Sus scrofa: one gene and its partners. The protein of the gene in region 2 purifies or fractionates together with the protein of the main gene of each other region. This does not show direct contact. Links are inferred from orthologs where the notes say so. Each region holds a gene or a part of one and is shown on either strand. Other genes may lie near its edges.

Region 1 (2,357 bases), on a different chromosome or scaffold from region 2:
CTCACTGAGCGAGGCCAGGAATCTCACCTGCATCCTCATGGATACTAGTCGGGTTCATAACCTTCTGAGTCATAACGGGAACTCCCCGAAATAAAGCATTTTCAAATTAAGGTATGTACCTTTTTTTAGACAAAATGATTTTATACTATAACCACTTTTTTTTTTAAGAATTAAGATATGAGCTCAGGGCTATCTAACCTAAAAATTTTTAAATTCCTACTCACTGTGCTATTTCTGAAATAATAAATGTGAAAATTCATTGGAATCTTAGAAGCTTATAAATATCTCTAAAATAAACTAGCTTTACAAATACCCTTTGAAATACATGTTAATGCAAACAGTTATTCATCAAATACCTAAACTTTATACAATGGTCAATCATCATTTACCTTAGTTCTTTGCTTAAATCTTTATTCAAGAGTTTTGTGGATTAATTTGTACTTTTAATTAAAATTTTAATTTTTACACTGGAAAACAACTAAAAGAATGCTGACTTTGGTCTTAGATTTTTCAAAGACAAAACTTGGGGAAAAAAAAATGTTCAGCCCTAGGTCAAAAGTTTTATTCAGGTACAGAGAAGTCCATGTGAATTGCGCACTGGGCCAGTATTAAATCCAAGAATAACAATTTCATTCCAAGACTATTTATTCTTACTACAAGTAATAACAATAGTCAGTATACTTGGGAAATGGAGTACAGTTTTTCAGCTGACATTTAAAACAGATGTAATTGACATTATTCTAACATGTAAGATCAACAAACAGTTAACTACATGGCCAGTATCTAATGTAGAACTTTATTTTCTACTGTATTAATAAACTAAAGGCAAGAAAATATCAAGTGAATTTTAAAGGCAAATCTTTACTCCTTAAAGAAAAAATACAAACGGTAGTACTTTTATAATAGATCGTTATATTTTACATAATATAAACAAAAGCACTAATCTTATGTCTAGTTTCCTTAAACTACAATGAATCACAGCATGGGTGAAAAAAATGGGTTTACTCGTTGGCAGCAAATAAACAACTTGGGAAAGGGGGTAGCATGCATTTATTTTTTAAACTGTCTATGCGCAGGCACTGACATAACCAAGCTTTAATAGCCACCACCGCCTCTTCCTTGTCCAGGGTAGCCACTCCCATAGCCCCCTCCTCTGCTACTTCCTCGCTGGAATCCCCCAGATCCTCTGTAGCCTCCACCACCAGACCCTCTGTAGTCTCCTCCTGACCCACCTCTATAGCCACCTCGGGAACCCCCTCTGTAGCCTCCGCCACCACCTCCACCTCCACCATAGCCTCCCTGATAGGAGTTGGAGCCACCACTATAGCTGCCGCCACTGAAGCCTCCATTATCATTGAAACCTCCGTTACCATTGAAGCCTCCACTACCACTGAAGCCTCCACCACCACTGAAGCCTCCACCACCCCCATAGCCTCCATTACCCCCAAAGCCTCCACCACCCCCATAGCCACCACTACCCCCAAAGCCCCCACCACCACCATAGCCTCCACTACCACCAAAGCCCCCATTGCCACCGAAGCCTCCGCTACCACCGAAGCCCCCATTTCCACTGAAGCCTCCGCCACCACCAAAACCTCCACTACCACCAAAACCTCCGCTACCACCGAAGCCGCCACCGAAGCCTCCGCCACCGCCGAAGCCACCACCGCCGTAGCCTCCGCCGCCTCTGTAGCCTCTGCCACCTCCGTAGCCTCCACTGCCATAACCAGAACCTCCCCTTCTATATCCACTTCCATTGTCATATCGAGCCATCTTGGGAGGACGTGGACCATCTCCATATCTAGAGAAAGCACAAAACCACCACCTTTAGCAAAGTATCCTTAATACTTCTCAACTAGTCACAAGATAGAAACATTTAGTCATATTTGAAAATTTAACACACAAAGGGAATGAAGCCAAATGCATACATACAAACAGAAATGAAATAAATCTGCTAAATCCAAAACAGACACAAGATGAAGCATAACTATTAACCATCTGTTTTGTTAAAGTTCTGGTTCATTCTCAAAAACCTTAAATTTTGGCAATAAGTCCTTACAACTTTAAGAGTTCTTTCTCACATCTCAACTATATGTCATTCTAGGAAAGTGAAAGAGGTTCCCTGAGATGGCAGTGAGTTATTTGATCTTTACCACTAGGTATTTTCCTGCATTAACTGTTTTTGAAAAGTGTCTTTGGCTAATTTGTTTACATCTAAATCTTGGTTCACGTGGCAAAGAAAGTGAGGGGTAGTGAAAAACTGCCTAAAATCAAATTGTCTCACCAAAATGTCAATTCAACATACCCGAAACCACTTATTCCTTCTGTGCAACTTTCTGAGAACATCCTGTACTTGT
Region 2 (3,652 bases):
AGTAATTACTTAGTATTTTCAATGCCATTTGAACTGTCTTTATCACACCCATTTCCAATTTTCCAAAACACACTTTTAAAAAGTAAAATAGTCATTCTTAAAATTTTCTCTCCAATAGCCTTAAGGGCAGATTCTGAGTAACTATCCTTGGCAGACAGTTGGGGGTGGGGAGCACCTACCACAACCAAGTGGTTCCAACCTTTGGAAAGAAACAAGTATTTGCAATGCCACAAATCTCCCATAAAACAAGGTATCCTGAAATACTGTTTTGTATCTTGTTTAAGGTTGAAGGGATGGGACAGACAAGATGTTTAGGCAAGTGGGACAAAGCAGAGGAGCCACATTTCCTACTGGTCCAAAAGATTAAGCTCCCAATTCATATTTCCCTTTGAATTACCATGCCTCTTAAATAAAATGCCTTCTCCTGAGTAGAAATGGGGGGAGGACCAGAAATTAGCAAACTTGCATTAGCTCAAACACAAATTGGTAGTCTCAGGTTACTTGCACAGAACACAAAAACATCTTTCTCAAACAAAATCGATTTGGATTTCAAAGTTGGAAATAGTGAAATATAGAAGCATAGTTGAGTGCAAAACCAGAAATCAGGTCTATTTATCAGCTCAGTTTTAAATGTCCTGTCTCTTTCTTATCAGGACATTTTGTAAGCAAGTATCATTCTTTTCTGTACTCCAACAAAACATACATGATATAAATGCACATACACATACACGCCACTTAATATTTAACAGTGGCTCACAACCTTAGCTGGACACAGGAGCACCCTTTTATGTTCTGGAATTTCCTTTGTGGACTTTCGGGATATTTTCTTGGAGGACTTAATCTTGGTTAAGAGCTGACACAACACAATGTTCTTACATATAGCCCCTTATATGTTGATCTAGTTCATAACCATCATTCTGTATTTTTAAAAAAAGGCACCAACATACAATCATCACATCTATGTCCAATTCATTTTCATGGGCAACAGCCAGACATCTTTAAATAGGATTTTTAAATTCTCATTTTAAATCTACCCAATTGAATTTGCAAAGTTTACAAACACCTCCAAGTATACCCTCCTTAGGTCTGCAAGCATACTTTGCTCAGGTTTATAACAGCTAAGATGTAAATAAGAAAAGCCAAATAATTGAATCATTATCACCTAATCCCTTTATATAAGTTATCAAGGTAAAACATTAAGAAAAACTTTATCTGTATTCTCAAATGGACAGCATGCACAGTGATTAAATCTTAAGACACATAAACTAAAGAGAAGAAAAAACTGACCTCCAGGTCCTCCTCCATACCCATTATAGCCATCCCCAAATCCACGACCACTTCCATATCCATCTGTTAGGAGCAGAAGAAAAGGATCATGATTATTTATTTTACCCCTGTTGAAGCTTCTCAATTTCTTACCCCCTTTCCTCCAAGTTACCTGCTAATATCTATGGATAAGAATTATTAGGAAGCCATCTCCCCCTTAACCTATTAACACTGGTGATACCAGTTTATCCTTAGACACTAAAGAGTGTAGATTTCACCATCGGGACAGGGATAACTGTTCAGCTGGAGGGCTTGGAGCCGGCAAGCCTCAACTTAAAATCTTCCATTCATTCATACATAGGAATGATATTGGACAGGGGCAGTTTTTCTATTGGTACTGTACTAATTATTAACCAGATTAACCTATGTAAGACTACAGGTTAAAACCCCCTACAGGGTTTCCACTCACTCTTCAGAAAAACCTCAAATTCAATTCTTCCAGAAAATGAGGACCATTAAATGGACCTCTACAATTATTTGTCCCTGATTAAGTATCGTTTTAACACCATGTTTCAAAATATCTCCTGCCTAGCAAAATCAGAAAATTCCACCGGGATAGAACCTACTTTAAAACTCTTAAAACTTTCAAAATTAGCTTGGATCGCCTAGAACTGAATTAAAACTAACTCATAGAACATTCACCCTTCTAAACTTAGAATGAAGACTTACCAGATCCTCCTCTAAAGTTACTTCCAGGTCCTGGTCCAAAATTTCCACCACCACCACGAGAATCTCCAAAACCAAAGTTGCCTAAAATAAATACCATGGTTAGTAACAAACACTTATCACCATAAATCTTAAGAAAAAATGGAATTGAAGTTACCTCCTCTTCCACTTCTAGAACTTTGGACTTCCTGCATTTCTTGTCTAGACAAAGCCTTTCTCACTTCTGCATTATGACCATTGATGGTATGGTACTTTTGCACTGGAAGAAAAGTTCAGATTCCCTAAGTCAATGTTCTATATATAGTATTAGTTAACTTACAAACTATTTTTTTACAAAATTATACAAAATCTTAAGAGCTAACACAGTCAAAACTTAATAGTGAAAAGAACCACACACCCCTAGCACTTATTACAGACACTTACACACAATCTTATCCACAGGATCATGGTCATCAAAAGTAACAAATCCAAAGCCTCTTTTCTTTCCAGACTGCCTATCAGTAATTATCTCAATGGTATCAATTTTCCCATACTCCTCAAAGTAATCTCTAAGATGGTGTTCCTCAGTATCTTCTTTAATTCCACCAACAAATAGCTTCTTCACAGTTACATGAGCCCCTGGCTTTCCAGATTCCTGAAATAGAGGAAAAAGCACACTATCTGATTAACAAATGACTTCTACTCTATATTCAAATACTACATAAGGCAAAATGATTAAGAACCTAGTCTTTCAAATAAAACTAAGAAATGAAAAACACAGAAACCCCACTCAGCATTAATGAGGAAACAAAACTTGGAGCGAAACATGGATAACTTTCTAATCTCAAAAAAATTTCCCCCAAATTATCTACTGCACAAATTACGTATTCACTCACCTCTCTTGCAACAGCACGTTTTGGCTCAACCACTCGTCCATCAATTGAATGTGGTCTTGCAGCCATGGCAGCATCAACCTCAGCCATGGATGAAAAAGTTACAAAACCAAATCCTCTTGATCTTTTGCTTGCAGGATCCCTCATGACCTTAAATGCATAGGAGTAGAGTTACTATTTAATCTCATTACTTACAGCATTTAAAAATGAACATGAACTTAAAACTTTTCTTAATGATTCACTAACACTTTAAACAGATGAGCCTGGGGAGTTAAAAGGACTATTATCTGCAAGCACTTTATTAACATACCACACAATCTGTAAGTTTTCCCCATTGCTCGTAGTAGTTCCTCAAACTTTCTTCTGTAGTTTCAAAGCTCAAGCCACCAATAAAGAGTTTACGGAATTGTTCCTTTTCTCTCTGCAAAGGAAAACATCATTTCAATTTTTATTTACATTTTCTCTTTGTATACAGGAAATTAAATTCTTAAATATGAGGTGACCTGCTGGCAGAGTACCTTTTTCCTCTCCAAAGGAACAGTTTCTAAAGTTTTCTGGGGGGGAAAAAAAAAACTTACATCAAATTTAAACCATATGTTAAACTGCATATTAGTTGTGTTACACCAAAAAAAATTGCCTCAGCTGAACTACACAAGTTTCAAAGTCATTAAATCTTGATCTAAATTTACTTCACATTCAAACATTTTAAACACATCTAATACCACTTAGTTAAAAAAAATTTCTGGAAAAAAAAAAAAAGCAAATCTTATTCCCTGGTGACTGAGAAG
Region 3 (4,330 bases), on a different chromosome or scaffold from region 2:
CACTTTCCAAGAAATACTAGCAAGCAAACTATACTAGCTTTGATTTTTGGATCAGCCTATTCCAAAGTGCATAAAAACAATACAGTCTATAAAGAACACACCAAACTGTTAACACAATTTTAATTTGGGGAAAGGTTAAGCAGATTTGGAAGACAAACTACTTCAGAATGACTCTCCATCCCATGTGAATGAGTACACAACAAAGTAACCCACACTCTACTAACTCTTCAAAACTCAAAATTAGAACCTGGAATTCTATTTACAAAACCAAACCAAGACAAAACCTGAAGGCATAAAAAAAAAAAAAAAAAAAAAACACCAATCTGTTCTGATACCTTAATAAAGTTGTCTCAGAAACTACCTAAAAAAAGTGTTTACCAATTATTCAGGATAATCCTTCTCAACCTTTCTTTACAAGTGTCACAGCAATTCTGCTTTAAAAATTTCTAGTGTTAGCATCAATCAAAACACCAGCAGCTGAAATACACAGTTTGTCAGTTCTGTATGAAATTTTTAATGTAATTTCCTAAACATTAGGCTAAGTGAAAGAAACCAGTCACAGAAGACCACTACTGTATGATTTTAAATGGATGAAGTTAACGATCTGTGAACTGTATCTCAAAGCTGTTAAGAAAAAACATCTTAGAAGCCAAATGAGATAAAATTCCTTTATAACATAAAGGGTTTGATACATTAATAAACAACCCTAAACCATGCTTCTAAAAAAGTTCCTTGGTCAGCAGGTTAAGAAGGATCCTGTGGTGTCACAGCTGTGGCACAGGTTTGGCCAGAAAATTAAAAAATGAGAGGTAACTTCAAAATTTTGGTCAGAAGTGGTGATGAAATGCTTAAATAAAATGGAAATCATTCCCTTTTCATTGTGCTTGCTCAATTTTAAATAAAAATAGACTCACACACTACTACTTGGAGGTGAGGTGTCTAAACGGATTTCTTTTCTAGAACAAAGTTACCACCCACTGCAGTTCAATCACTTGTTTAACAAAGTAAGAATACCAAAACTACACAGTTGTTTAAAATATAAAAAGCAATTTAGATGCATTTCCAAATCATGATGCAGATGAAGGGCAGGAAAAAAGGTTTCTAGGGTAATCCAATCAGGGAAGCTGTTACACCACACAAGACTTTATAAGAAACTGGGCTATATGTCTTTACAAGTGCATAGAAACACAGAACATCTTCAACATCATGAAGATCTTTTTCATTTTTAAAGATGAAAAAATAAACACACTTGTAAAGATTCATATGCATTATTGGAAGTCTCATGCCTTGCCTGTCCTTTACTTTGCACAGTTTTCAGTGAAAATTACAGACCCAGTTCTCCAATGTTCTAAGGACCGAAAAAAAAAAAAAAAAAATCACAGCACCACATGACTGGGCTTGCAGTTTGTTTTTCTGTTGAGTAGGGTTATTTTCTTCGCCAAAATGTTACTATAGTCCTAAGCCAAATAGAAAATTCGCTTAGCTACCGAAAGAAAATAAACCCTAACTGTATTTTGAAGTATTTTATTTCCACAGCCTTAATGCCAAAACAATCTTTGCACAAAATAAAAATCTTGGAGATTGGTGAAAGCCGATAACGCAATTCCTATACACACATTTTTTCCATCACTGGTTGTTTTTTAACAACTGTTTCCCAAAAGTAAACCACCTACTTAAATTCTAACACAGTATTCGCCAAACTACACAAAACCATTGCTAAACCATCCCGCCCCCGCCCAAAGGTTCAGAAAGTCGTATCTTGGTTCACCTGCTTGAAATAAGCCCCACTGCACATTCCTATTCGGTAAGTCACCCGCTTTTCTGCTTACAATTACCCATAAAGTCTCCCAATACGGTTTAAGTGGAAAAAACCCTTTGGAAAATGAGTACGTACTCTTTTCGAAGCTCCAAACCTGGAATATAAGGGCCGGCTAAGCGTCCTTTATTCCTCCCCGGAGGCTTTTCGTTTTATCTAGCTGCCCTAGAGACCAGAGAGCTAGGGAGAGTACGCCCCTTCCCCCCCTTCCCGTTCGGCAGCAAAGCTTGGCTTAAAAACCTTCGCCACCCGGCGGCGGAATTACAAAGGAGGCCGTCTGCCTCCTTTGTCCCGGGTTTGGGAGTTGAGCGCCTTCGTCGCCATTGGCTTTCCTCCCCCAGCTCCAGCCTCTCTCATCTTGGGAATCTGCGTCAGAAGTCACTCGCAGTCCCGCCAGCCCAGGTAGCCCAGCTGAGACTGCGGAGGAAGGGAGGCCGCGGTGGGAGGCCAGGCCCATCCGGCGCCATTTCCAACCGGAGCGCGCCCGAAGGCCCTGAGCCTCCCCCCACCCAAGTGCCCAGCCTTTCCCAGCTCGCTTCCTTCCCCACCCACATCCCTTCCGAGGCGCTCTAACCACCGCCCCCCTCCCCGGACTCCTAAATCAGTTTTCGGAAGCTAAGGGGCAAGAAGCAGAAAGAGAGGAGAAGGGCGGGAAGCCCAGGTGGCCGCGCCACCGTACCCAAAATGGCGGAAGCCAAACCAGCAGGGAAAAGACGGGAAATGCGTGATGAGCCCCACTTCGGGCCTCGGCTTCGTCCACTAAATCCCCCCTGAGTAAGTCCCCCCCCCGCCCGGCAGGCCGCCCCCGAAGTGAGAGATCGCCCGGGGGGGCGCAGCCTGGCCACCTCCGAGCGGCGACCTCCACACTTCGCCCCGCCCCACCCCCTCCCAGTTTCTCTTTCGTCCTTCTCCCGACTCCACTCTCGAAACCACCATCCCAACCTACCCCCTTTTACTTCAGATACCCTGTCGAGCGACAGTAGCGCCGACTCCGCTGCTTGCGGGGCCCGGTCGTGGAGAAGGAGAAGTCGCCTGCCTCGTGTAGCGCTCCCACAACGGTTCTTCCAACCGTCTCCGGCGGTGGCAACCGCTGAGGGAGCTGCGCAGCAGAGCGACTGGCTTGGGGGGATGGGAGAGCGCGAGAGAGAAGGAGGGGGTGGAGCGAGAGCGAGGAAGACCCACCGGCCCCGCTCTCGCGAGGCAAGAGAGTCGGTCCCGCCTTGGCGCGGAAGGCAAGAAGTGCGCTTGCGCGTTGGTGGAAGGCCTGGTTGTTGGGGTCGGGGGAAGGTGGAGGGTCAGTAACTCCGCTTTTCTTGCTTACCCTAAAACCTTCAAATTCTCAAAGCCACCTTTCTGCTTTCGCGGGGAGATGTGAAGTGGCGAAAGTATTCCTTCCTGTTTGTGTTGCAAGAATCCTGGAGTCGAGTTTTGGAGAAGTCCGCTTTTTCCCAGCGAGAGCAAATTCTGTAAGGCTCCGCCCTCACCCCGCGTCACCTGCGTGGAAAGGGAGCCACGTGGTTCGGCAGCCAAATGCGGGGAGGGCTTTTCTTGTCCACCATGTTTGCGTTATGCAGTAAAAATAGTAGTGTTTTCCGGCTGGGAAGATACAGTAATGTCCACCAGGCCCCTATTTGGGTTCTCAGGCTGGAGCTCCTTCCCCCGGCCTTGGCGCTGCCAGCCCAGCCGCCCAACCCGCCCCACAGTGGGGCTTATTTGGGGGTGGAGTGGGGAGGTGGGTTGCCTTGCAAATCGCTTCCTCCTTTCGCCTTGGCGTTACCTCTCGCCTTTATCTCTCCCACTTTGTAATCTCAGTGAGCATCAGCCGCTCGCGGCGGGAGACTTCCAGTTGTTTTCTAAATAGTACTTTGCATCCTTGAAAATTGCTTGTACAAATGACACCTAGTAAATAATTTTTGGTTGTGCTGTCATACCGCCAAGGTTCCTAGGGACTCCTCTTGAAGGGGAAAAAAAAAAAAAAAGGCGAGCTGAATTTCTGTAAGAAGATTAGAGGTCGGTCCTAGTACTGAGATCAGCGCAAGTTAAAGTGCGGACGTATAGGAACGCACATCAAATGCAAAGGAGAGGAGGAAATGAGTTTAAGTGTACACAAGTACCCCTAGGTTGGGAATGTTGACAAAACTAGCTTGTAGAACTTCAGAGTGCAAAGACTTTGGGCTGTAGACCCTGAAAAGGGCGTCGAGGTGGGGTGAAGGAGACCTAGAGGATTAGCAGTGGAGAAGCTTGAATAATTTTTTCTTCCCTGAGGTCTGCAGTGTGAAGGGTGGAGACAGGAGTCCAATTACTATCTTATTGTGGAAACTTGCATTTCTTGGCTTTCATTCATCCTCAAACCTGTTTAAGACAAGTGTGGGACTAGGTCATAGTGCCCTAACTGCCTTTCTTGAGCCTACGCCCTCAAGATAACCCTCAGAGAAAGGGGGGGAAAGGACAGTGTGTTCATTACAGGAAATAGAAAAATAAAACAGGATGATGTAATAACAGTAGCTCACAATT

What was found.
Region 1: the proteins of HNRNPA2B1 (region 2) and DHX9 purify together in Homo sapiens (affinity purification with mass spectrometry; 4 studies listed by BioGRID and IntAct, with this or other methods). This does not show direct contact. The link is inferred for Sus scrofa from reciprocal best matches to the Homo sapiens genes HNRNPA2B1 and DHX9.
Region 3: the proteins of HNRNPA2B1 (region 2) and HNRNPH3 fractionate together in Homo sapiens (co-fractionation; 3 studies listed by BioGRID and IntAct, with this or other methods). This does not show direct contact. The link is inferred for Sus scrofa from reciprocal best matches to the Homo sapiens genes HNRNPA2B1 and HNRNPH3.

The regions. Positions count from the first base shown.
Region 1 is NC_010451.4:124,182,109-124,184,465, reverse strand, and holds the end of DHX9 (ATP-dependent RNA helicase A), read right to left. Parts: intron 1,802-2,357; coding exon 1,096-1,801; 3' UTR 628-1,095; downstream 1-627. UniProt on the Homo sapiens protein: Multifunctional ATP-dependent nucleic acid helicase that unwinds DNA and RNA in a 3' to 5' direction and that plays important roles in many processes, such as DNA replication, transcriptional activation, post-transcriptional RNA regulation, mRNA translation and RNA-mediated gene silencing.
Region 2 is NC_010460.4:46,208,128-46,211,779, reverse strand, and holds part of HNRNPA2B1 (heterogeneous nuclear ribonucleoproteins A2/B1), read right to left. Parts: intron 3,419-3,652; coding exon 3,383-3,418; intron 3,286-3,382; coding exon 3,175-3,285; intron 3,015-3,174; coding exon 2,868-3,014; intron 2,627-2,867; coding exon 2,416-2,626; intron 2,252-2,415; coding exon 2,150-2,251; intron 2,077-2,149; coding exon 1,996-2,076; intron 1,351-1,995; coding exon 1,288-1,350; intron 1-1,287. UniProt on the Homo sapiens protein: Heterogeneous nuclear ribonucleoprotein (hnRNP) that associates with nascent pre-mRNAs, packaging them into hnRNP particles.
Region 3 is NC_010456.5:71,484,886-71,489,215, reverse strand, and holds the start of HNRNPH3 (heterogeneous nuclear ribonucleoprotein H3), read right to left. Parts: upstream 2,922-4,330; 5' UTR 2,763-2,921; exon of another isoform or gene 2,454-2,762; intron 2,219-2,453; exon of another isoform or gene 1,895-2,218; intron 1,805-1,894; exon of another isoform or gene 1,674-1,804; intron 1-1,673.